4 linked regions of the Astyanax mexicanus genome follow. The protein of the gene in region 2 interacts with the protein of the main gene of each other region in a pairwise test. Links are inferred from orthologs where the notes say so. Each region holds a gene or a part of one and is shown on either strand. Other genes may lie near its edges.

Region 1 (6,893 bases), on a different chromosome or scaffold from region 2:
TGTCCAGGAGTGAAAGAGTGGAGCTGCAGAGAAAAATGTTGACACTGTTTGCTCTCTTCCGTCTTTTTTGTCAGGGGGCCGTTTGCATCCATGGAAGTTTGTGTGGAATCCTCTGGATGGGCCTTTACAGTGAACTGGAATTAAAAGCACAGTAAATATATATTTATTTGCAGTGTATTGCTTGTATGTTAATGGGACTTAGCATAATATTAGACTACAAAGCATTTTAAATTGATTTTTTCCATTGAAAGAAAAATATAGTTTTAGACTGGGCTTAGTCCCTGTCCATAAAACTGCCCCATAGTGTAGGTGCATTTAATCTTCAAACATAATAAGATAAGCAAACATGAAACCATCTGAGAACATATTATGCTTATTTCTGTGGGAACCATTTTGACACATATGATTTACAATATGATAGAGACTAAAGTTGAAGTGTCTACTATGTGATACTTGTGTGTCATCATTGTCCCTACCTCACAACTCTCTCCAGCTCTCATTCTCTCCAAGCAGCTCTCTACAATGTCACACTGCCCCTCTCCCATGCGCAACAGGACCCATCTGTCCAGTGGCACCTGCAGCACAGAATCTTGGGAGCGAGGATGCTGTGTGACTTGATTGTCAGAATCATCACTGACCGCCGGTTCCGTTTCATTAAGGCTTGGTGGTTGGGTGTCTGATTCTGTGTGGGTCTTGAGGTACACTCTAATTTTGCATACAGAACCCATTAGTGGAGTGTCATCTCCTTGTTTTCTCTCTCCTGTCCATCTCCTCTGCACCTGCCACAGACCAGCAGGGGTAACTGATATCCATGGGGCATCAGGGGTGACGTCACCTTTTGTGTGTGTAGTCGTGGCCATAGACAAATCCCTAAAACTGAGGTAAAAAGAGACAAATAATTATGGAGATCTTTGGAACCCAACTAGCCAAAATAACTTGATAATTCCAAATATAAAAAATCCAAATAAAATCTTGTCATTTAGAGCATTTATTTGCAGAAAATAAGGTGCAGAGCTTTCAGACCTTAAATAATGCTAAGAAAACAAGTTCATATTATAAAGTTTTAAGAGTTCAGAACTCAATGTTTGGTGTAATAACCATGGTTTTAATCACAGTTTTAATGCATCGTGGCATGTTTTCCTCCACCGGTCTTATACACTGATTTTGGATAACTATATGCCACTCCTGGTGCAAAAATGCAAGCAGCTCAGCTTGGTTTGATAGCTTGTGATCAATCTTCCCAGAGGTTTTTAATTTGGTAAATTCGAAGAAACTCATCAGGTTCACAAAACTACGACTACTTCTTGTAATAAGGGCATTTAATTAACATAAAAAAACAAAATAACATATTAAAGTATTAGCTAGCTTGCTATCTTGTGGACACGCCCTATTAAAACACTGTCACACTATGGAGCTTTTACAAAACTATCTTTACAAAGTAGGTATATTTTAAAGTGAGAGGTGAGAGGTTATTAAATTCAGTGTCTACTTTTACCTGTAGTGTCATACAGACAGTCAGTCAGACAGACAGCAGGCTGATGACCAAGCAGCAGATTTAGCCACTGTTCTCATTCATCCATTGCTCCAGTCTCCACATCTAAAACACACATGTGTGTGTGAATGTAAAATAATATAAGTATATATTATCAACCTACAGACAGGTGATAACTGTAACTATGCTCCAGCAGTCTGTCTAGTCATGTTACTCCTCGCGCGGTGTGAAGGCAGAGAAGAAGCGTGTATTAATACGCGACTTTCCAGCGCCCCGTGCAGGTCTGGAGCGAAAGGGCGGTGCTGCGCCTGTTCCACCTACTACTGCCAGGAGATGGCGAGCTCGTACTAGTAGTGCATCTAAAAAAATAGAATATAATTGAAAAGTTACTTTATTTCAGTAATTTAGTTCAAAATGTGAAACTCATATATTATATAGATATATTAAACGCGTGAGTGATCTATTTTAAGCGTTTATTTATTTTATTGTTGATGATTATGGCTAATTACAGCCAACGAAAACCCAAAAATCAGTATCTCAGAAAATTTGAATACTATATAAGACCAATTGGTACCTATGGCAGTGTAGGCAGTGTGCCTGCTAGAAAATGAAATCTGCATCTCCATAAAAGTTTTCAGCAGAGGGAAGCATAGAGTGCTGTAAGAGTTTTCAGGAAAACACTGCACTTTGGACTTAATATAACACAGTGAACCGACACCAGCAGATGACATAACTCTCCAAACCATCACTGAGCATCAGAGACACACACTCCAAGTGATTCACTGATTGTGAAGTTTCTACAATCAGTGATTTTTTTTTAGAGAGCCATGTCATCAGTGTTTTCCCAGAAACTCTTACTGCATTTAATGCTGGTATGATACTAATTACTCTGTCCCTTGACTTTTGCCAGGCTTAGTATATGTAACTGTTTCTGTGTGATATAACAAAAACAGTCATTTTAATATGGGCTGTTTTTACAGTTAATTTAACATATGTGGGTTGTACAGATAGGGTAGTCAACAGGATGTGTAAGCATGCACCTGTTTAATTTAAATTTTCTGTTTTTCATAAACAAGGTAGATAAATGTTTTCCACAATATGGGCCCTTCAAGACACATGTGAATAATCCTGTGAGGTGAGTTGTCAAGCAATAAAGTACTTTTCAGCTTTACAAAATACTTTACTTTATTTAAGTATACATTTCGATTATCTATACTTTACTGGAGTAATTATTTTTCAACTAACTTTTTATTTTTTTTAACGCAATTATCGCAATTATCTGTACTTTCTATTCCTTAAATTTAAAAAATAGCCTTGCTACTCGTTACCTATTTCATTTCAGATTGATTTAATTTCAGTTTATACAGATAAATTGTGCCATCCATACATAGCATTCCGACACCCAATTGATTTGAATGCAATTGATCGCACCTGCACATATCACGCCACACTTCAGCAAGAACATAGCAGATGTATGTAGCCTTGTATAAAAGTTATTTAGAATTAGGGTTCTTTAATATATTTGTATTGTATGAAAAAAATCATTACCCTAAACATTGTAATATAACATCATAGTCATTATTGCTTTTAGAAAAATGTGTTTTGGAGAGGTGAGGTAGCGCACTATAGACCCCTGTGGGAGGGCCTACGCTTTTGTTCTTAATAGCGTTTTTTCTCCTTACTTTTACTTTATGTAATTTAACCAGTACTTTTATATTTTTCCCTAAGTAAAAAGCTTGAGTTGATACTTCAACTTCTACAGAAGTATTTTTTAACCCTAGTATATTACTATACTTCTACCTGGGCTCCGAGTGGTCCAGCGGGCTAAGCGCCGCTACTATGATTGCCGGTTCGAATCCTGTTCATGTAGCTTGCCATCCGCTACCGGAGGCCTGAGAGAGCACAATTAGCCATGCTCTCCCCCCACATCACTCCAAAGGGTAATGTCACTCAGCACAAGGCGTCTGTAAGCTGATGTATCGGAACCGAGTCAATGAGCTTTACTCCGAGCGCGATGCTGCTGAAGAGGTGGTTGACTTCACATGTATCAGAGGTGGCACCCTCCACTAGTGATAGGGGGAGTCCTAATGAGTAAAGTGGGTAATTGGCCATGTTAATTGGGGATAAAATGGAAAAAAATAGAAGAACAATTAAAAATAAATTCTACCTGAGTAATTAATATAAATGCTTTGGACACATTTTGCCTGTGAATGGACATGACTCTTTACATAAAAGTATTTATTTAGTTGTGAAAGGCTCACAATGTTGTTTTGTTAATAAATAACTCAAGGACAGGTACAGGTATGGAGGTATGGGGGCAGGTAGAGGGACAAAAGTGGCCAGCGGGGGCGCGCTTTAAGGAACGAGGCTGGGGCTGTTTCCTGGGTGCGCGCAGGCAGCGTCACAGGCAGTACAGTAGAGCAGCAGCTATGTGGCAGAGTGTATGAGACAGTCAGACAGACAAGGCTAAGCTGGGCAGGGCGGGGGGTGAGAAGAGTTTGGGAAGATATTCTGTTGACTGTGGTTGTCACCGCGACTCCGCTCGGAAGGCAGCTAGCCGCACAGCAGGACGCGGAGCGGAGGAGTCGCCGGACATCAACGTTTTCCCCGGTTTACGTTACCTGGATCGAGTGGAGAAAAGCGACGGAAAGAGCGAGTTTCCAGGCGAATGAGTGCAGCAGCCCCGGGAGGAGGGCAAGTGTGTGCTGTGGCGGGGCGCAGTTAGCGAAAGATGAACAAAAACCACCGAGTGCCGAGCAGCCGGACTCTGAGCGCCGTGGAGGTGAAGAGCAAGGTGCGCAGCAAAGCTAATTTACTTCTTACACGCAGCGGCGGAGGGATTAACGCTGAGTCTCCGTGCTTCGCCCGAGCCACGATTAGCCGATTTTTCTTGTGTACAGCGTGTTTGTCTGGGCTACCTTAAAAAAGTGTCTTCACATTGTTAAACCGACGAAGCTGAAGTTGGGTCGGCTTCTTATTCGACTTTTCCAGTCCACCCTAAACAGTAAAGCCAGTATGGAACTACTGCGCTGTTTAAGGTGGACCGGAAAATTCGAACTTGAGCGTCGTAGCGACGGTAGATTCAGTAACTTACATTCATCTAGTTAGCTTACAAGCATGTATAGCTATATAACCTAGTTAACGCTAGCTAATATATCTCAGCTAACTAATTTAAACTTTAGCTAGGTTAGTTACCCATCTGTTGTTGAGGAATATTAAGCTATCTATTATCTAGCATTTTGTTTGAAGTTTGAAGTTTGGTGGTGTGAGTTTCACTAGCTTCACTAGATAAAAAAAATCAGTTGTTTTATTTTGGATTAATGATTTAAATAGCTAACTAACTAGTAACTAGCTAAGCTAACGTTAATAAACAAAAAACAGGTGCAGACTGTGTTTGTGTGTGTAACTAATCTTATTGCACTGTGTAGGTTATGAAGAAGACTAAATGCTGTAAATTAGCCTAAATATGAAATGAATGAAACACCTAGATGATGATAATGACGATTCGTGAATAATATTAAAATTAAAATTTGTCTGTTTTTAAGTCATTTGAACACGTTGTGACCCACTGAAAACAATAGATTTTACTTATTGTTTGAGTTTTTTAATCTAGAGAAAGGTTTCGGGGTTGGGTCTAATTTACATAGTACTAAACAAGACATCCTGTACTAGTGTGTAGAGTGTACTGTTAATGCTAGTGTACTTTTACTGATATAATCTGTAGTACAATAGTATGTGTTTTGGCCAAGCATAACTCTATAGTGTTTTAGTGCTTTATTGTTTTAGTTTCTAATAGTTTCTGATAATAATGTTATGTCTTATTTAAGGTCTGTTTCTTTTGCTTAAGCATTTATATAACCCTGTGTTTTGGTGGTGTTAGGTTACCTGCTATAAGTGAGTGAGTTTATAGTAAGATTCCAGAAGTTTGGTTTGGTTAACTTGCTAAAGGTAATAATCAAAAAGCAGGTGCAGACTGTGTTTAAGTCTGTGTGTAACTGAGCTTATTTCACGGTGTAGATTATAACTAAGACAAAATGTCGTTAATAAGCATACCTATATTATTAAGGAAACACCTTGGGTTAACTTGAACCTAACCTGTCATTCTTTCTTGCTGTAGTGATGATAATGATGGTGGTTGACTTGTTTATGACTCAGTATTAAAATATGATCTTGCTAGCTAGTTTTCTCTGCTGTTAAGCATTATTATCTTCTTTATTTCAGAAATTGAGTCATTTGAACATGTTCTGACCAACTGAAAACAATACACTTCAGTTAATGTTTTTTTTAATCTAGAGTAAGGTTTCAAGGGTTGTGTCTCAATGACATAGTACTAAACAAGATATACTGTACTAGTGAGTGTACTACTAATGCTAGTGTACTTTTTGTAAATATACTTCTTAGCTAGTACAATAGCATGTATTTTTGTCCAAGCATAGCTTTACAGTATTTTGGTGCTTCATTATTTCAGTAACTAATAGAATACTTTTTCTGAAGATTATGTTTTAAGGTCTGTTTATTTCGTTTAAGCAGTTCTATAAGCCTGTTTTTTGGTGGTGTTATCTTAACTACACAACCTGCTGTGAGTCATTGAGTTTATAGAAAGGTTCAGCTGCTGTTTATTTTGGATTAATTAACTAGGTTAAGGTAATAATCAAAAAGCAGATGCAGACAGAGTTAAAGTCTGTGTGTAACTAAGCTTATTCCACTGTGTAGGTTGTGACGAAGACCAAATACTGTTACAGCATGCGCCTGGGGTTATTTTAACTACAGTGAAGGGTGTGTGTTAAGTTAGCTAGTAAGTAATTTGTTTAATCGGAAGCTGGAGCTGACTACTGGCCTTGCAGTGTTAGCTTTAGCTCACCTGTAGCTAAAGCTAACACTGCCCTGTAGCCCGGTTGTGTTTACTTTCTCACTGGAGTCAAGTGTCTAACTGATGCTAAACAGGACAAGTTTTGCTTAGCCAGCTTTAACCTAAGCTTAAATATAAAATTAATGATTCTTCTAACTTTTACCTCTCGTTGTGGTGTTTATAATGATTGTGCTCAGTATTAAAATATTAGCCTTAACTAACTACCTAAAAATGAATCAGGCCGTTTAGTTTTCTTTCTAAAATGACTAGTTAGCTAGTTTTGTCTGTGATTTAGCATTATTACCTTCTGTATTTAAGAAAAGTGAGTCATTTAAAGTAGAGTTCCTACTAAGGTTTTCAAGGGTTCTGTCTTAATTAATTACTGCCTAACAAGACATACTGTACCAGTGAGTGTACTTGCTAAAGCTGGTGTACTTTTTGATATGATCTTTTGTTGTTGGACCAAGAATGGCTCTATAGCAGTTTAGTGCTTTATTTCAGTAATAAGAAAAAGTTCTTATGTTAAATTGTTTTCATAAGGCTACGATTTGT
Region 2 (7,423 bases):
TTCTGAATTAAACAAAAAGAGCACCTCTATTCTGAGTAGAGTTTTAATAGAATGTACACGTTTCTAAATTACATTGGCTACCCTGGAAATAGTAGGGTTATATATTTAATTCCTGTCATGATCAATGCAACTAGAGCCATGGTTTCTGGAAGCTGTTTAGAAATATAGATTTTATTTTTCCTTCAAGGACTGTTGCCTGAACTTAAAAATGATTTGTGGAATTAGTGAAATCAATGTGGACCAAATGGGAGGCCGTATACAGCTTCAGTTCCTGGAATTGATCCAGTGTGTTGCAGAAGTGGCTACTGCTGGCATGGTAAAATCTAATTAAGTTTCCAAACGGGAAAGACTGATTCATTTCCACTGGTCAAGAACAGTGAACCACATATGGGAAGATGGGCCCAATTTGATTATATAACTAATAATAATTTTTACTGGATCCAGATTTGTTACTGGTCATTTTATTATTATTGTAAACAAGATTGTGAGAGAAAAATAAATTAAAATATAAATTAAAATATACTACACGCTTACTGTAGACACAAAGATATACTGTGTAAAATACTGAACATTTAAAAGAGTCCTGATGGTGTGTGTGACTTACACAGACTATACTGCCTAACACAGGTTTTAACTTCACTGATCTCACTTGATTTTTTTTTTTTAGCAATAATTTATATTTAATCTTTCAGAAAAAGTAAAAAAAAAAAAAAAAAAAAAAAAAAAAAAAACCTACATTACCCATTCTGGGGGGTACCTAAGATACGTACAACTGATTTGTTATAAAGTAAACAATATACACCGCATGTGTGTAAAAAAAATCTTAAATAAACTCTACCTTATATTGTCTTAATTAGGCTCTTTATTCCTTCTACTTCTGTTAAATCATATTTATTATGTTTGTTCATAGATCACATCCTCTTATTTTACTTCTCATTTATTCTAAATGCAAATGCCATTTAATAATGACATCAGCACATAATAAATAATAAATAAGTTACTGTTTCCCTGTTCCCTGAAATCTTGCTTCACCTGACTTTTATCTTTTGGTCTTAAAGATCTAAAAATTCAAAACTAGGGTAATCTAAAGTGACGATCACAATTGGGTCGAGCTGAGACCCAGTCTTTTCACTCACTAGCTGAAAAGGGTGAAGCTTCAGCAGACTAAGCAGCACAATGCGTACTGCCACTAAAACAATGCCCAGAAGATGATGAATGAGGCTGAAGTGAACATGTTGCCATGTGTGGAGCGGGAAGGGTACAGGTTCAAAATGCCAGATAAACCCTCAGAAGTTAGTTTTGCTAGTTGACTGACGAGGATTAAACCTTTTTTCCATGTTTATTAAAAGCCTCAGGGCATCAACATGGTGCTATCTATATATCCCCTAAAATGTGTTCCTGAGAAGAAGCAAAACAAGCAAACAACAAGTTGTCCAAATGGGGAGGAATTTTCCTGCCCCATGCCATAAGAGAGACAGGGCCGCAGTGCCAATGTGAGTCAGAACAGATGGACTTTGGAAGGACACAGAAAAGGACAGTTCACTGGTTCTATGGTTGTGCATCGTAAACCATTCATACGGGAATAACGTTCTGAATCCAAAGCATTTTAAATAGGAGAAACAGTTTTCTCCATTGCATACACAAAATTCTGAAAACTGGTGTATCACAAACATAGCTCTAAATTGCAAAATGTTAGGTACAAGTCTATGTGTTCTCAGTCAACTGTCATTATAAAACACAGTTTTGCAAATCTCTGAACACAAATTGTATAATTTTACACTCTGGTCACCTAGAAACAATGATCTTATATTGCACTTGTGTTTTATGGTGCTCTCTACAGTAATTACAGTATACATATACTTATATGTGTGTATCTTATAGAACTTAAGAGAAATGTACTATCAAAAGTGCATGTTTTTTGTATTTGCTTTCCTGTTTACCGACCTAGATTACTCAATTTTTGGCCAATGTGACATTGGACAGCAGGACAAATACTATTTCTGTTTTTATTTTGGTCATTTTCTCTATTAAAAATGCATTTATTTTTACATAAAGTAATAATAAAGTCCACTACATAAAGGTTTGTCTCCTACAACTTTTTCTTCCCTCTGTTATCCTGCCTTAAGTAACTACAGTAAGAAAAATATTACTAGCAGTGGTGGAAAGGTAAGCAGGTCGTTTTTTGGGTGCTGCTTGGTGGTTAATATGAACTGGAAATGTCCTGGTAAAGTCCTGCTGGGAACTCCATATGGTTTATTTATCAATGGTTTAATTACTGCTAGTTGAAAGGCTTTGGGTAAATGCCCCAGGCTTAGCAATGAGTCTACTATCGTTATTATTTAACTATATCAGGTAGTATTTGTTTGTTAATATCAGTGCATTTGTATTGTTAACACAAGAGAGGGTCAGTCAAAAATTTCTCATGTCTCCCTCAATTGTGAACTTCTTCTTATTTGCAAACTTTTAGCAAGTATTTGTATTGACATTTACCTTTCCTGTCCATCTGTCTTCCTCTCATTCTGTCACAGCTCTGTACTCTCTCTCTCTCTTACTCATGTTTGGGGTCTCTGCTTGTGTCTCCACAGCGGACATGGTTTGTTTCAGTTCAGGTACAGGGATGAGTGCTTTGAGGCCAGAAGCTGAGCTTGATCTCCAGTTTCTCTCACACATCATGATCAACAGTCCTGCAAACAGAAGAAGGTTTTGGTCTACTAGGTGCACTATGTGAAGGGTCTATTATGATTAGCTGATTCAGGTTAATTTGCCTATCCTTATTCTAATTAGTAATAATAAATAGTAATAAATGTGGGGGTGTCCTAACTTTTTGTCACAACAGAGAATTTTTTTTTTTGCTCATTATATTTTACAACTCATGTTTAAAAGTAATTTCTTTAAATTTATATGTTTAGCTATATAAGATCCACGTGTCAGTATTGGTCATGACATGTACATGCCATGTACACTGTAAAACACTGCTGTAGAATTTACTGTAAAAAAACTGCCAGTAAATTACTTTAACAAATGTTAACAAAACTTTTACTGTAAACTAGTAACATTTACAGTAACATTTTTCACTGCCATGACAAATCTGTAAAAGCCATAAAATGAGAGTAATTTGCAGTAAATAATATTTACCCTGAATTGTTTTTATTTCCTAGTACTTTTCACATATAAATGAAAAGGCAAACTTACTTAAAATAAAACAAAATAAGCTTTCTTAAGTGTTTAATAACTCTGAAACTGAAAAGCTAGCTAAATAACACCTAGTGAAAACTCATACCCCACAAATTAGCACTAGACCGAAGAGGCTAATGTTGTTAGCTAACAAGTAGTGGAAGCTTGTATTTAAACTTTTTCATGAGCTTAATGTAGCTTACTAAAATGTATTTACATTAGCGCCATCACACCATGAAAATATGAGGCTAATGTAGCTAATTAGCAAACAATTAGTGGAAACTTACCCTGAGTTATGAGGCTAACGTAGTGAACATGCATTAACACTAATACTTTAGGCACAATTTAGGCTTATACTTACCCTGGTGTTGTGAGGCTAATATAGTGAGGTAATATTTGAAGCTACTTTATATACAGCTCTGGAAAAAATAAAGAGAGCAATTCAGAGTTGGTTTGATGGCTTTATCATCCATCTTCCTCTTAATTATATTCCAGATTTTTTACATTTGGTAAAATCAAAGAAACACATTATTTTTAAGTGGTCTCTTATTTTTTTCCAGAGCTGTATATAATGATGCCTAATCCGGTAATGTTGAAAAACGGATGTTTTTCATTATCAACAAAAAAAATGCAACCAAAAATAAATGTTTAATCAATGTTCTTTGCTGTTAGTGAAATTCACTGTAAGCATGAGTTTGACATTCATATCGACCAGTTTATATTTAAATAAACCTTATATTTTCTATTTGTTAGTGAATAAATAAGACCAATGAATAGGACATTTTTTATATTTTAAAGGTAATTTCAAAGAGAATACCATATTTAGCCATATTGGTTGGTCAAACGTTCGTATTATACATTACGTACTTCCTTTTAAAAGGGATGTATTTAGCTACAAACCCCCAAAAAAGAATAAATAAAAGAGCACCAACAATAAATCTCTGACAGAGCTTTAAACAAGAATGAAGGAGACCAGAATCGTTTTTTAACTACACTCTGCAGAAAAAAAACTACAAAAGGGTCTTTGGAACATGACAGCATTTTATAGCTGTCCAAGTATCGCCTGACTGAATTGTAGATAGCTTAAACCGACGCTTAAGCAATACGTGTGGTCCAATTTTAAATTATAATCTTAGATCAAGTTATGAATTACATTAGTATTTAACGATTTGTCTAAAATGTTTTAAAACGTGGTAAAATAGTGCGGCTTTCGAAGAAGCCAGTCTCCCGCTGGCCTTTCCGCCAGGATTTAAACTGGCGAAGGGGAGGAGGCGGAGCTGCTGATTGTGACATCTGACACATAACTGAAATAAACAGCGACACTGAACAATGTAGCTGTAATAAACCACTAAATACGAGTTTGTCTTAAGAGTTTTGGATACTGACTTGAAAACACTAAGTTTAATTTAGTCGTTTTATTGTTTTAGATACACTTTAAACTGGTTTAAACATGTCTCTTCCACCGGAGAAAGCGTCAGAACTGAAGCAGATCATCCAGGATCATTTAATGAAGGTAACGTATGTCGCCCAGGTTCTCTCTGTTTGCTAACTGATTGTCTGGCCTGACTGCAACTAAGTGTGTGTTTGAATCAGGTTTGGGCTCAGAGAGCTGTGGAGCAGCAGGAGCACCGGTTGCTGAGTGGCTAACGAATTGAACTACAATAATTACACTCTACATGTAGGTTACTAACCTAACTTAGCTAGATATCATCATTCACTATTGACACTTTCCCTTAATAATACATCTAGCCACCACTGATACTGTTTAAAATGATCTAGAGCTTCATACTGCTGCTACTACTGCAGCTACAGCTTAAGTTGTTACTACTTAAAGGACCATTAAGGACTAACAGTTAAACGGTATTTTGACCAGGATGTATCATCCGATATTACAGAAACATGCTGAGTTTAAACACTGGCAGCTCTTGTCAGCAAAGACTGTGCAGTACTCTGGAAAATCTGTGTGGGTTTTTAGGCTTGAAGCCTGCCCACTGTTATTCCCACAATCCAATTTCCACACTCAGGATTGCCAGGTAAAGACAACAGCACACAGACAGGGTGCTGCAGCCATAGCAACAGGTGAGTTGGCTATGTTTATGTTGAACAGGTAATCACTAAGCTTCAGTAAGGTTGCTTACCATAACTTTATCATTTATCACCACCGCTAGCATAGTAGGGTCCGGTGTTTTGGACATTGGAACATATATATTCAAAACTCATAATATAATAACATAATAAGACTAATCATATAGCATTATTTTGTGTATGATTCATCATCCCAGAAATGCTTGCAATAAACCATATTATTATAATGTTAAAACTATTAAATGCCACTATTATTATAATGACAGTAAAATATCATAACAAAGCAATTATACCCTTTTTAAAAAAGACAACTATTTTGTAATTATCATGTTTTAGTCTTCCATCGGAAATACATGCTTTTTTCACCTACTGCAGTTCACACTGTGTGTATAGGTCACAGGCATTGGTCATAGCATGACTGACCTAAATACTGTTCTCTGTTTTATATGTGAACTAACATACAAATAAACACATTGCAAAACCTTCAATGTGGCTGTTAAGCATGCACTTATTGCAGTGTTAATGCTTATTGTTCAGCCCAAAAACTGTACATGTTCATTTGAGTTTGATGGATTAGATCTTCTATAAGCCTGAAGAACTTGATCAAGCTGGGAGTAAAGTTGATCATACTGTTAAAGCTGGTTAACCAGATAGGTCAGGTAGGTCATACTGGTGGAAAGGGCTGCAACTAATAATTATTTTGGTAGTGGACTAATCTGGTGTTTTTTTGATTAGTTGATTAGTCAGTTATTTCTGCCATATCCTTCATCATTTTAAAATAAAAGAAACAGCTGGATGTGGGATCTAATTGCCCTTTAAATGCCCAGAAGATGTTTAAATGTGATAATTGTGATATTTAGTAAATAAATATGTACCTAATTTATTAAAAACTTTATTTTAAAGTAGATGACTATTTCACAGCGTTGTGTCACAGTTATGGTTACCCTCTCCAGATTTAGTTCTTATCTTAATCAAGAGGTGCAAATAATACACTGGACAAATTACACTGTGGATGCTGTATTTTCCTGTTTTTACTGTTTATCATTCCAATTTGATATTTTTACTGATCCTGAAGTTTATGTTCATGTGGATGTGGTTTGATGCACATGTCTGTGGATCCAGTCAGTAATATTAATGATTATATGATCAGATGGATATCCATGGGAAAATTCGAGGTGTCCTTGCGGAGACGCTGCAAGCTGAAGGGGACCGTGGAGAACGACCACTCTCTGAGGAAGACTTTCTCACTGCTCTCCAGCGCAGAGGCATTGTAGAGGAGGCCATGAAGGAGCTGAGTTTTGTTAATGTGGTAAGATACTTAATACAGACCTTTTTAATATTTATTTTTTTAGCCCACAAGCAAACATTGCTGACTGTTCTTGCCAATACACAGCCTTAGTGCTTAGGAAGAGAGTTACTGAACTACTGAACCCTAAACTATTTTTAAAAAGCGCTTTTATTGTGGTAATTTCCGCCTCTGCAGTGCCCTTTCAGGTGAGGATGATGTGTCGCTGTACTTGGGTATGCAGACACATCGGAACATGCAAATCAGTCAATCAGTCAGTGACGTCCAACCATCTGCTTCTCACTGCTATCATAGGCACACTGCTGCTGCTGCTGCTGCTCAGCCAATCAGATCTCCCTCCTGCCCTGCCTCTAAACCCATACATCACCCAGTGCCTCTCCGAAGCTACCCCTCCCATTTTTTTTAAAGTTTGAGCTGAGGCCCCTTTAAAAAGTTTTTAATGATACAGGAGGCCAGATTACCCACAACTCAAAATATAACAAAAGTTGTACTGTGACAGACCAGGTTATACCTTAGCCTCAACAAATTTCCCTTAAAGTGGTGATTTACCATCAGTATTTCACTGTGGTCCAGGATTAATCTATATCTTTAGTGTCCTGGCAGCAATAGACCACTGATAGTGTGCCATATTTCTGTATCTGTCTTTGTTTGTACTGGGAATTTGAGTTTTATATATATATATATATATATATATACACAACATTCTGACAGTTTTGAATCACATTTTGGATACCTAATTTATGGTTTTGTTTGCTATTCTGCTATATTTTTTTACTTCAATTCTATGATTGTTGGTGTTACTACAAAGTTTTAGGGATTATGTTTTCTTTAGACAGAATCACAAATAGAAGCAGATGC
Region 3 (7,894 bases), on a different chromosome or scaffold from region 2:
CTGACAGAAGTTACTATTGATTCCTTTGGAATCAAGTTACTGAACCGATTCTTTTGAACAGTCTATTTCTATAAACTGAAACTCTCATGGTAAATCTACTGTATATATATGAAAAAAACATATTAAAAATAGACTGCTTTCAAGCTTTTTTTTTGCTTTTTTCTCTTGGTGATATTATTGCTTATGATATGATATGGCACACCCCTTACATATAGCCATAAAGACATAAAGCCACCCAGTACTGAGCTGTGGAGCAGTGGAGCTGTGTTCTTTGGAATGATGGAGCTCCATCCAATACTTTTGAGATGATTTGGGGAGTGCCAAAATCAAGCAAATCCTCATGGGGAGGATCTGATTACAATCAGAGTGTTACTGGGCTCACAATGTTGGGTTATCATCACTTCCTTTTCATCTCCCCTTTACATCTCCCCAGTTTCTCAGCTCATCCTATTCAAAAGTATTTGGCAGAGCGCCATCATTCCAGATAAGTTTTATTGTCTTATTACTAGATTTTTTAAAACTGCTTTGTGATAATATCAGTTGCCAAAATTCATATACAAATACATTTTAGTTGATTTGATTGGGTAGAGAATGAAGAAGTTTCACAATCCTAATGTTTTGTGCTTTACACCTTGTTTGGTGCTACTAAGATTTTATGTTTTGTATGATTTTGTTTAAAGGGCATTAAAGAGAGTAAGGGTGGGACCAAATATATATTCTATTATATGTTATTGTGATCGATTGTATCACTTTTGTTTGCAATATATTATTGATTTGTGGTGTGAGACTCGCTCCCCAATTAGACTTACTAAAGTCACTGCTTCATTACTCCACGTGGTGGTGCTAATCAAATGAACAGGGTAAACCTGCATTGTCTTGCACTATATCACAGATGTATAAAACCATGCACCAAGGCATTCAGACTGATTATACAAACATTAGTGAAAGAATGGGTCACTCTCAGGAGCTCAGTGAACTCCAGCATGGTACCATGATAGGATGCAGCACCTGTGCAACGAGTCCAGTTGTGGAATTTTCTCACTACTAAATATTCCACAGCCAACTGTCAGTGATAGTATAACACAGTGGAAGGCAGCAACTGTCAGTGTAAAATAACATCACTACACACTTCCAAACTTCATGTAGCTTTAGATTAGATCAAGAACAGTAGAGTGTAGAGAGACTCGTGAAATGGGTTTCCATGACCGTGCAGCTTCATCTAATCCTTACATTACCAAACACAGCAATGCAAGCAAGTGAATACTTTTGGCAATATAGTGCACTTAAAGAAAACACAGCCAAATGTTTGAACACATCTCTTCTCATTCACTGTGTTTACTTTCTTTTTATATTTTTTACATTGTAAATGTAATATTGAATACCATATTAAAGCTATACAGGAACACATGCAGAATTATGTGAAGTGTACATTTAGCTTATATTTTCTCAGTGTCTAGATGAGGTAGAGTCCCTTGGAATAGTTTTTTTCAGCATCTTGAAGGAGTTCCTGGAGGTGCTGAACAATAGTTAATGCTTTTCCTTCACTCTGTGAAGCCCCAGCTCATCCCAAATCACCATGTGATCAGGTTTATGAAGCACAAAGATTGTTTTACTGTTTACTTCCTAATTCTATATGTGTTCCTTTAATTGATTTCTCTTTAATCTGTTTAATATTAATCTACAATGTAGAACATAAATTAAGAAATAAACAGACTGAAAGAGAAGGTGTGCCTAAAGTTTTTCAGTGGTAATGTATACTGATGTAGCAGTATTGTTGCTAAGTCTTCATTTGTGTTTTATAATTAGTTATTTTATTTGTAAGCACAACAAGACTGCTGCTCTATTTATTAGTACATTGTGCGGTGATAATAACTTTTCACCTTATCTTAGGTGAATCGTTGTGTGCCCGAATCAGCGTTCAGAACTCGTTCAAATGAATCGATTCGAGTCATCGCTGGAAGCTGGACGTCGTTAACTTCGCTCTTTTATAAATATATTAACCTAACATGCTGGTAAAAAAACAAAAACACATATACTATCGCATATTTTAGCACCTACACGCATAGACAGCACGATATTAATAAAAACAAAGCCTCTACAGCTTAAATTACTGTTAACTCTAACGTTTCCGTTACTTATTACATTCATCCAGTGATGGTAAAAATACAAGAATACTGTGTTTTTGTCTGGAAATTATTTGCCATATCACTTTTGAAAGGGTTAACGCCAGACTTTCTGTGAGGAAAATATGCGAAAATCCAGCTAGAGTTAGTTGGTAAGTTAGCTACTATATCTTACAACAAAATAAACCTGAATAATCCTGCTTTTACCTCATAACATTTAAGTTAATCCAAGATTATTCTGACGAGTTTAGCCTTTAGTTCGTCTTCCAGAAAGTAGCTAACGTTAGCTGGCTTTAGTTTAGCTAGGCTAAGTTATAAGAACTGTTTGTTAATGGTCCGTGGGTATCTAGCTATGCTAAGCTAAGCTAAGCTAACGGTTCTAACTATTGTTTATTTAGCTAGTTAACTAACTAAGTTACAGTTTTCAGTTGCCGTTCGCCCTAAACACGCTTCTTCCCTAATTTCTAGAAAAACTGGGACTATCTTTAAAGCCTTCCCAGCCTGTGAGTGTGTTTACGGAGTATTAAAAAGAAAATAAACGAATTAAAACGAGGAATAAAACTGGAGCATCTGAGTTCAGCTTCAGTTAACGTTATATAACAGGTAAACTTACCTGAGCTCCCAGACTCCTCCAAAGTCAAAGTCAAAGTGGTTTTTATTGTCATTTCAGCTATATAAGTTACAGAGTACACAGTGAAACGAAACAACGTTCCTCCAAGGACCATGGTGCACATAAACGAGGTTAGCAAACTATCGTATCTAAAGCCGAGATAAGCAGAAGTTTCCAGCATGGCTCTGAAGAAAAGTGTAATTTAGGAGTTTAGAGTAAAAACAGGTTATTTAGAGTGTGTAAGTCAGTGTGTTGGAGTGAGGAACAGCTGGTGGGTGGGTGGAGTAAACACACACAGTTTCCTTGGAGATCTGCTACAGTACAGAGTATGACAACCCAGCTTAAAGCCAGGCATGGTTCATTATAGCTCTGCCTGATTGTAAGTTAATGATGTTTACCATTTAACTTTGAATCGTTTAAAAAGCTATTAGTGCAAGGCTATATTAGTCTGTTTTATGGTCAGAGGTTATGCAGTTCAAGAGCACGCTGATATATGTTAATATAAAAGAGAATAGCATGATATAATGTAATATAATGCTGCATTAGCAGATCAAGGCAAGTCTAGACTAGTAGCTAGGCCTATAATAATTACTTACAGATGTGATTAATAAATGGACATTTACTGATATATGTTTAAATCCCTGTTGAATGACTTTGGGACTTCAGCACCCAAATCAGCCAGTGCATCAGTAAAATAAACACAAGAGGGAGCTCTTGCTATTTAGCTGAAGTTTGGTGTCATTTCATGAGCCTGAACTATGCATTCTAATATTCTATTATAAATTATACTAATAACCAGAAAGAAAATCACTTTCAAAATCTTAAAAATATATATAAAACATATACAATATATATATTTTAATTTATTAATTAAAAAAATAACAGCCACCCCTAGGGATGTCACTCCATATAGAAAATAAATATATTGTCGTTGTCCAATGAAAAACAAGTAAGTTCCTTTTTGTGGATTTTTGTTTACTACATAATTTGGACACACAAACTGTCACTTACACTGTGTCAACATTTCTTGTTGAATGGACAAATAGAATTTCTCCAAAATGACCTGAAATTAACTATTTTTATATTGACTTTTATCGAAAGTTAAGAAGTTTTTATTTCTCTCTCCTGTAAATTTGCCATTTTGGAGATACTTGTTTTTCATTAAACAGTGACAATATGTACAATGATTTTATGAAAGACAAATGGAAATGGCCAAATATGTATTTATCCTTAATATACTGCGTGTGTTCTTTTAAACTAGCTTAGTTTATTGAGAATCAAAACAATATTTATCACCTAAACAGTCAGGCATTTGAACATCAGCCATTTACATACCAGACTAACTAAATTAGGATGTAAGGATATCATATGTGTACCATATACAAAGTTCCATTCAGTCAAAGCATATTCTCATAGTATTATTAATATTGTTGGACTGCATTTGCAATTTTAAATGATATGTTATTTACAACAATTGTTTCAAACACATTTAAATTAATTTTACAAGTTAAATTAAGTAATATATCTGTAATATAACATATATAATCAAATATAATCAATATATTTAATATATTTCTGATCTGTGAGGGACAATACAGTATCTTGTGCTAAATAGGCCAAAGCTATTCTAGATAATGCAGCCTTACCGTTTAGTTAATATTAGTTTCTTTATCAGTTTAAAACCTAAAGAGATCAATATGGTACTTAAATTGTCATATTTCTATGTAAAATCCATTGCCTTCTACCCAGCTAAAACAAGCCATGCTCCACAAATAGAAGTACCGGTAGTCTCACATGCCAACAGCACTAAACACTAACACCACTATCACACACTGTATAAAATATCCCACTGGAATAGTAACAGCGTCCCAGGTTCAATAACAGTCTGCAGTTTGAAGTACTGTAAGGACAGTGTTTGTGTAATGGCTGGGAAACTGGGGATAGATAGAATTTATCCTCTTTATATATACAGTATTTCAAAAGTAATCTATCCCTGTCCAAATTTACACTGAACTAGACTAAACTGGATTTCTGACTTTGTTTCAGTATTTGATTTGGTCCACTGATTGCTGAAATATTGTATTAATTATTAATAACACATTTATAGATATGGGCTTAGAAATTGTTGTCAGTGTGGCTTTTCTAATTCATAGCCTCACAGATTTCCTATTGTGTCTAAAACTGCATGCACTTTAATTGTGGATTTTTTCCAGTCTGATTCAGAGATGTCAGAGATGACATTATTCCTTTAGGTTACATTCACATTACCAGGCTGAAGTGACTCAAATCTGATTTTTGTTCAATGTGTCTCAGATCACATTTTTTTGTTTTTGTGGCTGTGTGAACGTAACAATTCAGATTTTTTAAATATCAGAGCTATCATTTGAGCCACTTTCATATGTGGTCCTAAATCGCATACATATCCAATCCATGGACAAGCGACATAAATGTGAACGGTCAAATCAGAATTCATGCGTCTTTTTGCTTTTACGCATGCGCTACGTTTTTCTCTCTCGAGTAGGGGTGGGCAATATTATATCGTATGCAATATATCGTGACACAGAAATATCGTGATATTGAAAATCCATATTGTGATAATAGGGCTGTTCTGTTTTAAAAGTAGTCTATTATTTACTGTGAAGCTTTAGGTGTATGTATTGTATAATTGTATTGTATTGTATATTTTAGAGCCATATCACCCACCCCTACTCTCAAACAAAAGATGCTCCACATATGAGCTGCTAACTCATTCATTTCCATTTATAAAGCTACGAGTCGTCTCTTAAATATGATGTTTTTTACTGTTGGTGAAGAAGGAGACGTTTATACAGGTATCAATGTGCGCATGTGAGGCATTTCAGGGACACATTCATTCACATTACCCACACATACAGATCACTTACATTTGTGAATGTGAACCGTAAAGATCCAAATACGATCTGAGCAAAAAATCGGATTTGAACAATATGGCTTGTAATGTGAACGTAGCTTTAGTTAGATAGGTAGGTACGTAGGTAGGAAGGTATGTACAGTGGTGCTTGTAAGTCTGTGAACCCCTTGACCTAAAATCTAAAACATCATCAGATTAGATGAAGAGAACCCAGTAAAAGAAATTAGATAAAAAATATTTTACTTGGTCTTAATTTATTGAGAAAAAATATATAATATTACATATTTGTGAGTGGCAAAAGTATGTGAACCTCTAGGATTAGCATTTAATTTGAATGTGAAATTAGAATCAGGTGTTTTCAATCAATAGGATGGCAATCAGGGTTGAGTGGGCAAACTGTTTTATTTAAAGAACAGGTATCTATCAAAGTCTACTCCTCACAGCACATGTCTGTGGAAGTGATCATTGCATAATAAAAAAGAAGATTTCTAAGGACCTCTGACAAAGACGTGTTGATGCTCATCAGACTGGAAAAGGTTACAAAACCATCTCCAAAGACTTTGGGCTCCACCAATCCACAGTCAGACAGATTGCAGTGTGCAAATGGAGGAAATTCGAGACTCCTATTTCCCAGGAGCCCAACAAAGATCATTCCAAGAGCAAAGTGTGCAATAGTGATGTAATATTGGATCATTTTCCTCAATAAATAAATGACCCAGTGCAATTACTTGTTAACTGGGTTAATCTACTTTTAAATCTGATGATGTAGCTTATATTTATGCAGAAATATAGAAAATTCAAAAGGGGTTCACAATCTTTCAACAGTTAATGAGCAGGTGCCCCAATACTTTTCCATATTATGTACCTGGCTACATTAGTTCTCTAGCTCTGTTTGCAGTCAGTGGTCTCTTTGGCCCTGTTGGTGCAGTTGGCAGTGTATCCCGCACACATGCTTCGTTCCCTCTCTGTCTTCAGGACGTTTTAATAGATGTATCTTGTGCATGCTCTCAGCTTGGATGCCTCGTCCAATCCTGGTGAACAGGCCCATCCCTCACTGTCTATTTAATGAAGTGATTGTCTTGCCTCTCGAGTGGGGCGAGTGAAGCTTTCTCTCTGTCCGCTCTGTTCTCCTAGAAGCGTACTGATACTCTATCAGAGTTACTGAAGATCTGGAAGTATGGAAAACTGCATATGTGCTGCAGATCAATACCTCAGCCAATATGCTTATGTGCAGCTTACATTGCTGGAATGTGAGCTAGATAGAATATACAGCTCTGGAAAAAATAAGAGACCACTTAAAAATGATGAGTTTCTTTGATTTTACTAAATTGAAAACCTCTGGAATATAATCAAGAGGAAGATGAATGACCACAAGCCTTCAAACCAAGCTGAACACTGCTAAAGCAGCATAAGCATTACCTGCTAACTGTGCTAGCTCTTGCGCCACTCAGAGGGAAGTAAATCGGACTGTAGCCTGCACATTTACTGTGTTAAAACAAGCTACGTGTGACGAACCGCTAGCTAATATCACCCTGGCTTACCTCAGTTTAGCTCTGTTGGGCGGCTAATGCTAATGCTCCAGCTAATGCTTTTCCCTTTTTCTCCCCAATTTATACGGCCAATTATCCAACCCACTCATTAGGACTCCCCCTATCACTAGTAATGCTCCAACACACCAGGAGGGTGAAGACTAACACATGCTTCCTCAGATACATGTGAAGTCAGCCACGGCTTCTTTTCGAGCTGCTGCTGATGCAGCATTGCCGAGCAGCCAGCGCGCCTGGAGGACAGCGCAGCGGCTCGGCTCTGATACATCAGCTCACAGATGCCCTGTGCTGCAGACATCACCCTAGGAGTGATGTGGGGAGAGAGCGCCATCTACCCACCCACCTGGCCAATTGTGCTCCCTCTGAGCACCGACAGCTTAAAGGCAAAGCTGCATGAGCAGGGGTTCGAACCTGCGACCTCCTGCTCATAGTGGCAGCGCTTTAGACCGCTGGACCACTCGGCGCCATTTTAGTATAAATAAACGGAAGAGCTTTACTCACCCAAATAAACAGTTTTCAGGAGAGAAATCTGTGTAGATTAACATCCAGCGGTCGTTTGACTTTAAATGAATGTCTTTTTTAATACAGTTTTGTTTACTTAGCTTAGCTTAGTTAGCTACCCCACCATCACCCAGTGGCAAGACCTGCTAAATTAAAAGTTCCCTTTAGTGTCTTTTAAAATGCGCTTTATAATCCGGTGTGTTTTATAGTGCGAAAAAATACA
Region 4 (7,984 bases), on a different chromosome or scaffold from region 2:
ACCAAACATGCTAAAGAACAAATGAAAAAAAATGATTATTTGATGTTATTTGGATTTTACTAAATAAACTTTTGATCAAAATATGGTCAAATATCCAAATTCTGTCAATATTTCAATTTAATATTATAAATGTATTAAAAGTATTAAGAATGATGTTACTTTATTTATATATTTATTATTTGAGTAGTTTAGAATCTCCTGAAAATAACCCTTGGCATGTGTGCCTGTCTCCTATAATTATTTAGTAATTTTCAGGTGAATAAAATAGGAGCTATAATAAATGGGTCTAGTGTTGTTAGAAATATACAACATCTGTTACAGACCTCTGTTCATTACAGGGATCTTTTAGGTCTGTGCCAGTTATTAATTAATTAATTTGCTAAGTTGAAATTCAATTGAATTGTACAGATTAAAATACTTTAATGATGAATACTTTAATGAAATTTGCTTCAATGAATCACAGAGCATGTGCTTAATTAGATTTTTTTTCGACTAACAACCTAAAAATGCGGCAAAAAAAAAAAAAAAATTAAATAAAAAATAAAACTGATTCCACAGAGCACTATATTACTAGTTACAAGACCTAGTATGGTTTTAAAATTACAATATTATTGGTTATCACATTTTTTCTGGGAAAATAGATCCAAAATAGATGTTTGTGATTATTGTCCTAAATGGATGATTCCATGCTCTTACTTAAACATATCAACTTACCATCACAATTCATGCTAAACATCTTTAGAGGTATGTCATGTGACTTGTATTTGGATTGTGTCATTATAAAAAAACACATGCTTTTAAAAGTTAGTTTGGCTGAAATCTGATTGCTCTGTGGCTATTAATACTGGTGTTTCAGTTGTGTTTTGGGAGCAGATGCATTTACACTTCCATAACATGTGACTCAAATGCTTCTGAGACTGCCACCTGAAGTGGCTTGAGTATTTTACATGTTGGTTTTTAGTGTCTAACTCTGGAGCAGAGACAGTGACAGTGTGAGTAAAGATTAATCTATTTCAAAGAAAAGAGCATTAAAATGCATAGTGCATTGATAGTTGTAGAATAAATCATGTTTGGCCATGAAAATGTAATTTATCTAGTAATAAATGTATACACTTGACAAATTATGTAATGCTACAATGTTACAGTAATGATACCTGCCAATATTTTTATAGCCGCTTAGCTAAAAGCTGACAGATCTCTTTTTTTCCTTAAGAGCTGAAGCTGTTGTTTTCGATGTGTGAAATCTGATTCTTTGTTCACAGGACACCCTTAAATCTGCACTGTAGCATAGTCAGCTTTTTGCAGGCATGGTTATTTGCCTGCAGCACTGAACAGCTTTAACTAATGGAATAAAGGAGCTGTAAAATAATGCATGATACATGTAGCAAAAACCAGCTCAGAAAAGATTTGGTTTGCACTTGCTCGTTATTAGGATTAGTAGAACTGATAGGACCAGCTCTATTAAAAGATTTTGGCACTGGATTAAGTCTTTATCAGACTGTTCAGGGTTCTTTCACTTAAAGCTAACTTTCAAAAACCTTGTTAAAGCCTTATAAAGCTGGAGCCAAACACATTTATAAGAATATATACAATCATCAAGGAGTGTCTACCAGAAGTGTTTCTTTCTCCATTATCTACACAGTTGCAAATTTAAATCTTATATGCATTAGCCTAATGGCATATCCCCACCTGAAAGTCTGTCTAGCTAATTTTAGTTTAGTAGGCAGGACTAAAGAACTTTGTCGTGTCATCATCACTTATGTGGGCTGAGTATTCTTATATTTTTTAGAAGGGGCGTGCACTGGTCATCAATTTGGTAAGTTGCTGGGCTACTGCAGAGTGATGATTTAATCTGACCAATATTTACCTCTTTATCTACACTGGTGAAACAAGAGGACATAGCTAGGTGAGTGTGTATGTGTGTGTCTTTGTGTACCTTTAACAGTGTGACGTTGCTCCAGTTGGTGCAGGTCAGGCAGTAAGTGCATGCAGTTGATGCAGCAATAGGTAAAGAAGTCCAGGACCACCACTTTCCCTGCCAACTCCTTTTGCAGAGACAGAGGACCCTCTGTGTTCAGCCAGTCTAGTCCTGCAGTAAAACAATAGTCAGACTGATATACCAACAACACAGAAAAGCTCAACTAACTGCTCAAAACAAAATACGTTCAGTAGCACTATATTCATTACCAGGGCGTATGGTAAGGGTTGTTAAAGAGCTGATTATAAAGAACAGGCCTGTTGGGAGCAGGGAAACTCAAAAAACAGAAGAAACAGCAATTACTTTATTCGATATGCACTTTACAAGCAGTCAAGACTATGTTAGAAAAATCTTGAATGAACATTTATATTCAGAAGTAACTTACAAATATGTAAACTTGGACTTTTTACTAGTATGAATTATGAAATATATTTTTTTATAGCAGAGCGGCTCGTATTTGTAGAAACTACAGAGTAGTGTAATTTGAGTTTTTAACTAGTTAAAACTGCATAAGTACTTGTATTGGTGGGGTCGTTTTAGGCATAACACAGTCTATATTTGTTTATTCCAGTCTGACAGTAATATGAGCCAGAAAGAGAGAGAGACGGACAGAGACACATAAGAGAGAGAGGGAGAGACAGACACAGAAAAAGAGGGAGATGGATATATAAAGAGACAGGCAGAGACAGAGACAGAGAGAGATAGAGAGAGACGGACAGAGACACAGAGAGACAGAGAGAGAAAAAACAGACAGACAGAGACAGAAAAGGAGAGAAAGCCACAGCAGAGAGAGAGACAGAGAGTTAAAAACAGGAACTCAGTAACTCAGCATTTTCCACTCGAACCTTCCTCAAAATCTGGAACTTTCAGGTCTTCCTTGTGGTCCAGTTTTTTCAGATACTCCGCCACCAGCTCCTCCCTCTCCCGCGGGCCGCTCGCCTCCTCCAGGCCGCTCTCCAGCTCGCTCTGAACCGGGAACAGAGTCGACAGGCTGCTGTAGGCCGCCATGTTTCCGAGCACCGCGGAGAACAGAGAGGAGAACTGCGCGGGGGACGCGATCAGCACATTCAACATAATGACAACTAAAATAACCACAGCTAGTCACATAATCATATTTATATATATATAAAAACTCCTACGCTCACATGCAGCATAGAGCTAAGCCACACACGCATAAAGTGTACAGTTTGAGAGTTGCTGTATTATTATTGTTTGGAGAAAATGCTGATGGGAATGTGTGAGGAGGTGTTTCTCCTCAGTGGCGGTAAGTGTGTATGTAACAGGACTCATGTTTACAGTAGTAGAGGGATATTTAACTAAATAAACGAGTTATAAATGAATCTGCCAAACGATAACAATGTTTTAATTGAAATGTGTGTCTGTTTGTGTTAAACGTTATGTTTAGCTGTTTAAAACTGTAGCTAGGCTAATGGTAGAGCTGCTGTTATTGGTGGCTGCTGGTGTGAAATGTCACAGAGTAACTCAGAAAGTGATATCTGGGAATATAAACCTCTTAAAAAGACCAAAAGACAAAATAATAAGTCACAAAAATGCAGCGAGTCCGCAGCAAAGAGACAGAGGGTGAACAAGCAAGGGAAGGCAAAGAAACAGACAGAAGATCAAAATGCCAAAAACAAGGGCTGTAATGGATCTTCCACCAGGAATCACCTGCCCGAGGAATCTGTACAGAACACCAGTATAAACGGATCACTGACCACAGACCCTGAAACACAGGCTGCTGCTTCTCCTGAGGGTGATACAGAAAGCCAGGGGTACTGTCCAATCTGTCAAATGCCTTTTTCTATCTTGGTGGTCCAGTCTGAACGGTGGCATGTTGCTGAGTGCTTGGATACCCCTGGAGAAACTAGTAAAGGTATGATTATATGACTAACCTACATAATTAAATGCATGTTCACTGCATGTTTGTTAGTCCGTATAGTTATCTGTATAATCTTAAATGTTTCTTAAAGGAATGTACACTGATATTAGATTCAAGGGTCATTATAGTATTGGGGATTGCCTGTCATCAAAGAAGTTATTGCGATAAACAATATTATTGTCATTTTAAAACAATAAAATGCCACTGACATAATATTATAACTGGCTAAAATACTGTTCACTTTTATATATGTCAGCAGACAAAAAAAGCCTTTTGTTATTTTTATAAAAACAAAAGTAAAATAGTCTTACACTTAGATTGCATAGTCAGACAAAAAAATGTAGTAGTGCAGTCAGCTGTGATTGGTCCTTTTTAGTATACTATAAATAAATCTGCAACTATTAGGGTAAAATTTCGACCAAGTCTACGCATCAATCAGATGCAGATGTTTCTAAAACACAGTTGGTTTGATTGACATTTCAAACCAGTATTTGATTATGTTGATTGAACTGCAGCAGAGCTGAAGATTTAGGTGATGCTAGGTCTCTAGCATAAAGACTACATTATCTGCACCTTGTAGATTTTGCTGCGTTCATAAATACGTTATATTCATAAATGTACATACACACCTAAAAGAAATCAGCTGATGCTGACATCCACCAAAACTCCAGTCCCTAACTTATCTCAAGGATATATCATTGTGCCAGTTGTGCCTGTGCGCCTTGTTCGGTATAATAAATCTTATTTGTATTGTTTATGTTCTTTCTTTTGTCTGAAATTCACAGAATGCCCATTTGGTCTTCAGTGCTCTTCGTCCATTCCAAATCATTACAAGAGATACTGCCACTCTCTTTTAGCTCATAGTCGAGCAATAAACAGCCCAGACTCAAGACTAGCCCCCTCAGACCAATCACATCTGGAGCAGACATTGTATGTCAGTGATGCCATCATCTCTAGAAAAGAGAGCTCGGTGGACAGTGCGGTGAATCTCTCTTCAGTGTCCAGCCAGAGTGCCTCTCCTAGTCATGGATCCAAGCAATCTTGTACACCTGTTGGTCAACCCAATGCGTTAATGCGGCTAAGGTCCCCAGACCCTGAGGATATTAAAAAAAAGAAAGGTTGGTCCCCCTCTGCCAAAGTATCAAGATCCCAGTGTTCATCTCAGGAACCTAAAATTAGGAGTTCCACTCCTGTTAAAGCAGAAGGCATCTGCTGTGCTGTTCAGACGGTTGAAGTAAAAGAGGAACCCTCTGCTTTAAACAACAACAATGATGATAATGATGATTATATTTCCTACTCTCCCCTTTCTGAGCTCCCTGCTGAAACAGATGTTATCTGTAGTAAGAAAAAACTGTTTCAGAGTACTGCAGTAGAAGAAGCGGATAACGATGATGATAATGACTCACTGATGCTGTTTGATGAGACTGTGAGTGAGGATGGTCTACTCTCTGATGTCTTGGAGCAGTTTGAGAGAAGCCAAGAAGATTCTCTCAGTACGGAGGCTCCGCCTGTGACCACCTGTGATCAATTAGAGTCCTTAGACCCAATTGAAGATGTTGCTGATGAAGCATTTGGGTCTCATTCCAGTGTTAAACCCTCGCAATACAAACAGTTGGTAAAAGACAGTGAAGGTAAAGGGAGCAAGACTCAGTTACAGTCTCCTGGAAGTTTAGTGTTGGAGCGCCTTCGTGATCATTTATCTAACCCTGCAGATTTCAACAGTCTTGACTCTACATGTGCAGAAATAGACTCTGTTTCTGAAATGCCTTCCACCATGCTCACCACCAAAAACCAGTCTCTCTCCACCATTACTCCCAGTAAAACCCAGAACAAGGTCTCTGGGTTAAAGCAAACTGATATTGGTGTGTTCTTTGGATTGAAGCCACTGAGTAAGAAGGCTGAAGAGAAGGTTAATTCAGTGAAGGAAGAGGTGAGCTCTACTCCTAGAAAGAGCTCTGGACCTGCAGGACGGAATACTAAACGTCAGGGTAGACAGCGCGGGAAGAGTGCTGCAGTCCACGAAGAGTCCACAGCAACGGAGGCAGTCGAGGAAGGAGCTGCTCAGCCCACGCAAACAGAAGGAGGCAGAGGAGTGAGGGCAGGGGGGAGGAAGAGGTGGAACAGAGGAAGAGCGACAGATGGAGGACCAGTGGAGCCCAGGCGATGCCCGTTCTACAAGAAAATCCCTGGTTGGTTGGCGTGTTATTGCTTATTTGTTTTGAGCTGCATGGTTTTGTCACACATTTCTTTTACTCATGTCTCTTTATTTATCAAATTTTACATAATTGAAATTGGGCAAGTAAGTTTGCCTAAACAAGGAGTTTTTTTTGTCTTCAGTTGCACACAGCCTAAGAACACATACATTCCCACTGTCTCATAGTAATGAATAAATATCAAGTAGCAAGAGACTTATCTGACGTCTTTTTTTGCACAGCTCTCTGATGGTAGGAACTTAAAGATTGTTTTCCCTTTAGTTTTCTGTTGTGTTTTTTTTTAAGTGTAACTTTATCAACTAATAGAATAATAAAATTGACACTTTTAATGCAATATTTAATTTTATGAGTAATAGGATGGCCAAGGCAATGCAATAATCCTGATTTGAGACACAATTCTATGTCATACAGGTAGTTCAGTTAGCTCAGTCTCTTTATCTGTCTTTTCACAGGAACTGGCTTTGTAGTCGATGCGTTTCAGTATGGAACCATTGAGGGCATTACAGCATACTTTCTTACACACTTCCACTCTGATCACTATGGAGGACTCACAAAAAGGTCCACACTTCCCATCTACTGCAATAAAGTGAGTATCTCTATTTCTGCATTAAAATAAAATGTGGGTTGGCCAAGGGCTATTGTTGCATGTGCTCATCTCATAAAGCCTGCTTTAGTTCATGAAGAGTAGGTGGATAAGTTGGAGTAGATCCTTTACAGCAGAGAAATTGCTTTTATGATACTACACCTAAATTGTTTTGCGATGGCTGGCTGATAAGTTTCTGTTATGGTAGATAACTGGTAACCTGGTGAAGAGTAAGCTGAAAGTGGATGAGCAATATGTCCACATTCTTCCAATGAACACGGACTGTGTGGTGGATGGTGTAAAGGTCACCCTTTTGGATGCTAATCAGTGAGTACTGAAACATTTATACTTAACTATGCAATGCTATGTTTACAGTGGCATGCAAAATATGGGGACTTCTGGTCAAAATGTTTAATGCTACATCCAAAAGATTAAACATTTGAGGGAAGATCAGTGTTCTATTTTGTTTTATTCAATTTGAGAGAAAAGCAAAGTGCTTTTGGGTAAGGTAATAAAGAATTGGAGGTTAGCAGGACCAGCAGAGACAAAAACAATATAAACACGTAGTATAAAAAATGTATAAAAATTATCTTATTGAAAGAGTCATTAGACGAAACCCTGTATCCACATCACGAAATTCAGTGTTAGATATATCTAATAGATTATATAACCAAGATTGATGCACATGGGGACTGAAAAGCTTAAAATAAAACTTTGTGGCCACATTGAGCAAAAGTATGTTTGGAGAAAAGGGGAGTAAACATTACGTTGTCGTTGTAAAAACACTGAATGGAAAAGGATAATGTTCATAAACACATCTCACCATCTATAATAGACCTCAGAAGATGCAAGCTGGAGTTTTGGCATGACCCTTACAGACTTTTAACCTAAACATAATGAGAAATCAAATTAGTAAAGCATGCAAAAAAAAAGAAATCTCACCGAAATCTGTAGTAAAAAATGCAAAAGAGAAATACAGCATAGAAGGACTTTAGCTTGACTACAAAATGCATTTACAATAGTTCAACAAGTACATTTTTTTAGTTAAATATTAACTGTCACAGATTTTTTTTCTACCAGGTTGCCCAAACTTTTGCATGCCACTGTATCTAATAGCTTCAGTCGATTTGTACTTTGTTACTACTTGGTGAATGCATGCAGCACTGAGACGCTTTCTTTCCAGCTGTCCAGGGGCAGCTATGTTGCTGTTTCTGCTGCCAGATGGCCAGACCGTGCTCCACACAGGTGACTTCCGGGCTGATCCCTCTATGGAGCGCTACCCAGAGCTGCAGGGCTTCAGGGTTCAGACGTTGTATCTGGATACCACGTGA

What was found.
Region 1: the proteins of cep76 (region 2) and pard6b interact in binary tests that used the Homo sapiens proteins (3 or more experiments, as listed by UniProt). The two-hybrid records come from large-scale screens. The link is inferred for Astyanax mexicanus from reciprocal best matches to the Homo sapiens genes CEP76 and PARD6B.
Region 3: the proteins of cep76 (region 2) and dzip1l interact in binary tests that used the Homo sapiens proteins (3 or more experiments, as listed by UniProt). The link is inferred for Astyanax mexicanus from reciprocal best matches to the Homo sapiens genes CEP76 and DZIP1L.
Region 4: the proteins of cep76 (region 2) and nhlrc2 interact in binary tests that used the Homo sapiens proteins (3 or more experiments, as listed by UniProt). The two-hybrid records come from large-scale screens. The link is inferred for Astyanax mexicanus from reciprocal best matches to the Homo sapiens genes CEP76 and NHLRC2.

What each region holds. Positions count from the first base shown.
Region 1 is NC_064420.1:34,154,138-34,161,030, reverse strand, and holds the start of pard6b (partitioning defective 6 homolog beta), read left to right. Parts: upstream 1-3,891; 5' UTR 3,892-4,223; coding exon 4,224-4,286; intron 4,287-6,893. Other genes in the region: fkbpl (FK506-binding protein-like), read right to left, coding at 1-134, 477-860. UniProt on the Homo sapiens protein: Adapter protein involved in asymmetrical cell division and cell polarization processes. Probably involved in formation of epithelial tight junctions.
Region 2 is NC_064413.1:38,478,164-38,485,586, forward strand, and holds the start of cep76 (centrosomal protein of 76 kDa), read left to right. Parts: upstream 1-4,422; 5' UTR 4,423-4,624; coding exon 4,625-4,687; intron 4,688-6,409; coding exon 6,410-6,568; intron 6,569-7,397; coding exon 7,398-7,423. UniProt on the Homo sapiens protein: Centrosomal protein involved in regulation of centriole duplication. Required to limit centriole duplication to once per cell cycle by preventing centriole reduplication.
Region 3 is NC_064412.1:49,698,056-49,705,949, forward strand, and holds the start of dzip1l (cilium assembly protein DZIP1L), read right to left. Parts: upstream 3,010-7,894; 5' UTR 2,737-3,009; intron 1-2,736. UniProt on the Homo sapiens protein: Involved in primary cilium formation. Probably acts as a transition zone protein required for localization of PKD1/PC1 and PKD2/PC2 to the ciliary membrane.
Region 4 is NC_064422.1:32,417,468-32,425,451, reverse strand, and holds the start of nhlrc2 (NHL repeat-containing protein 2), read right to left. Parts: upstream 3,010-7,984; 5' UTR 2,987-3,009; coding exon 2,824-2,986; exon of another isoform or gene 2,811-2,823; coding exon of another isoform or gene 2,804-2,810; intron 2,090-2,803; coding exon 1,937-2,089; intron 1-1,936. Other genes in the region: dclre1a (DNA cross-link repair 1A protein), read left to right, coding at 3,446-3,851, 4,643-6,046, 6,523-6,656, 6,862-6,980, 7,837-7,980. UniProt on the Homo sapiens protein: Required for normal embryonic development.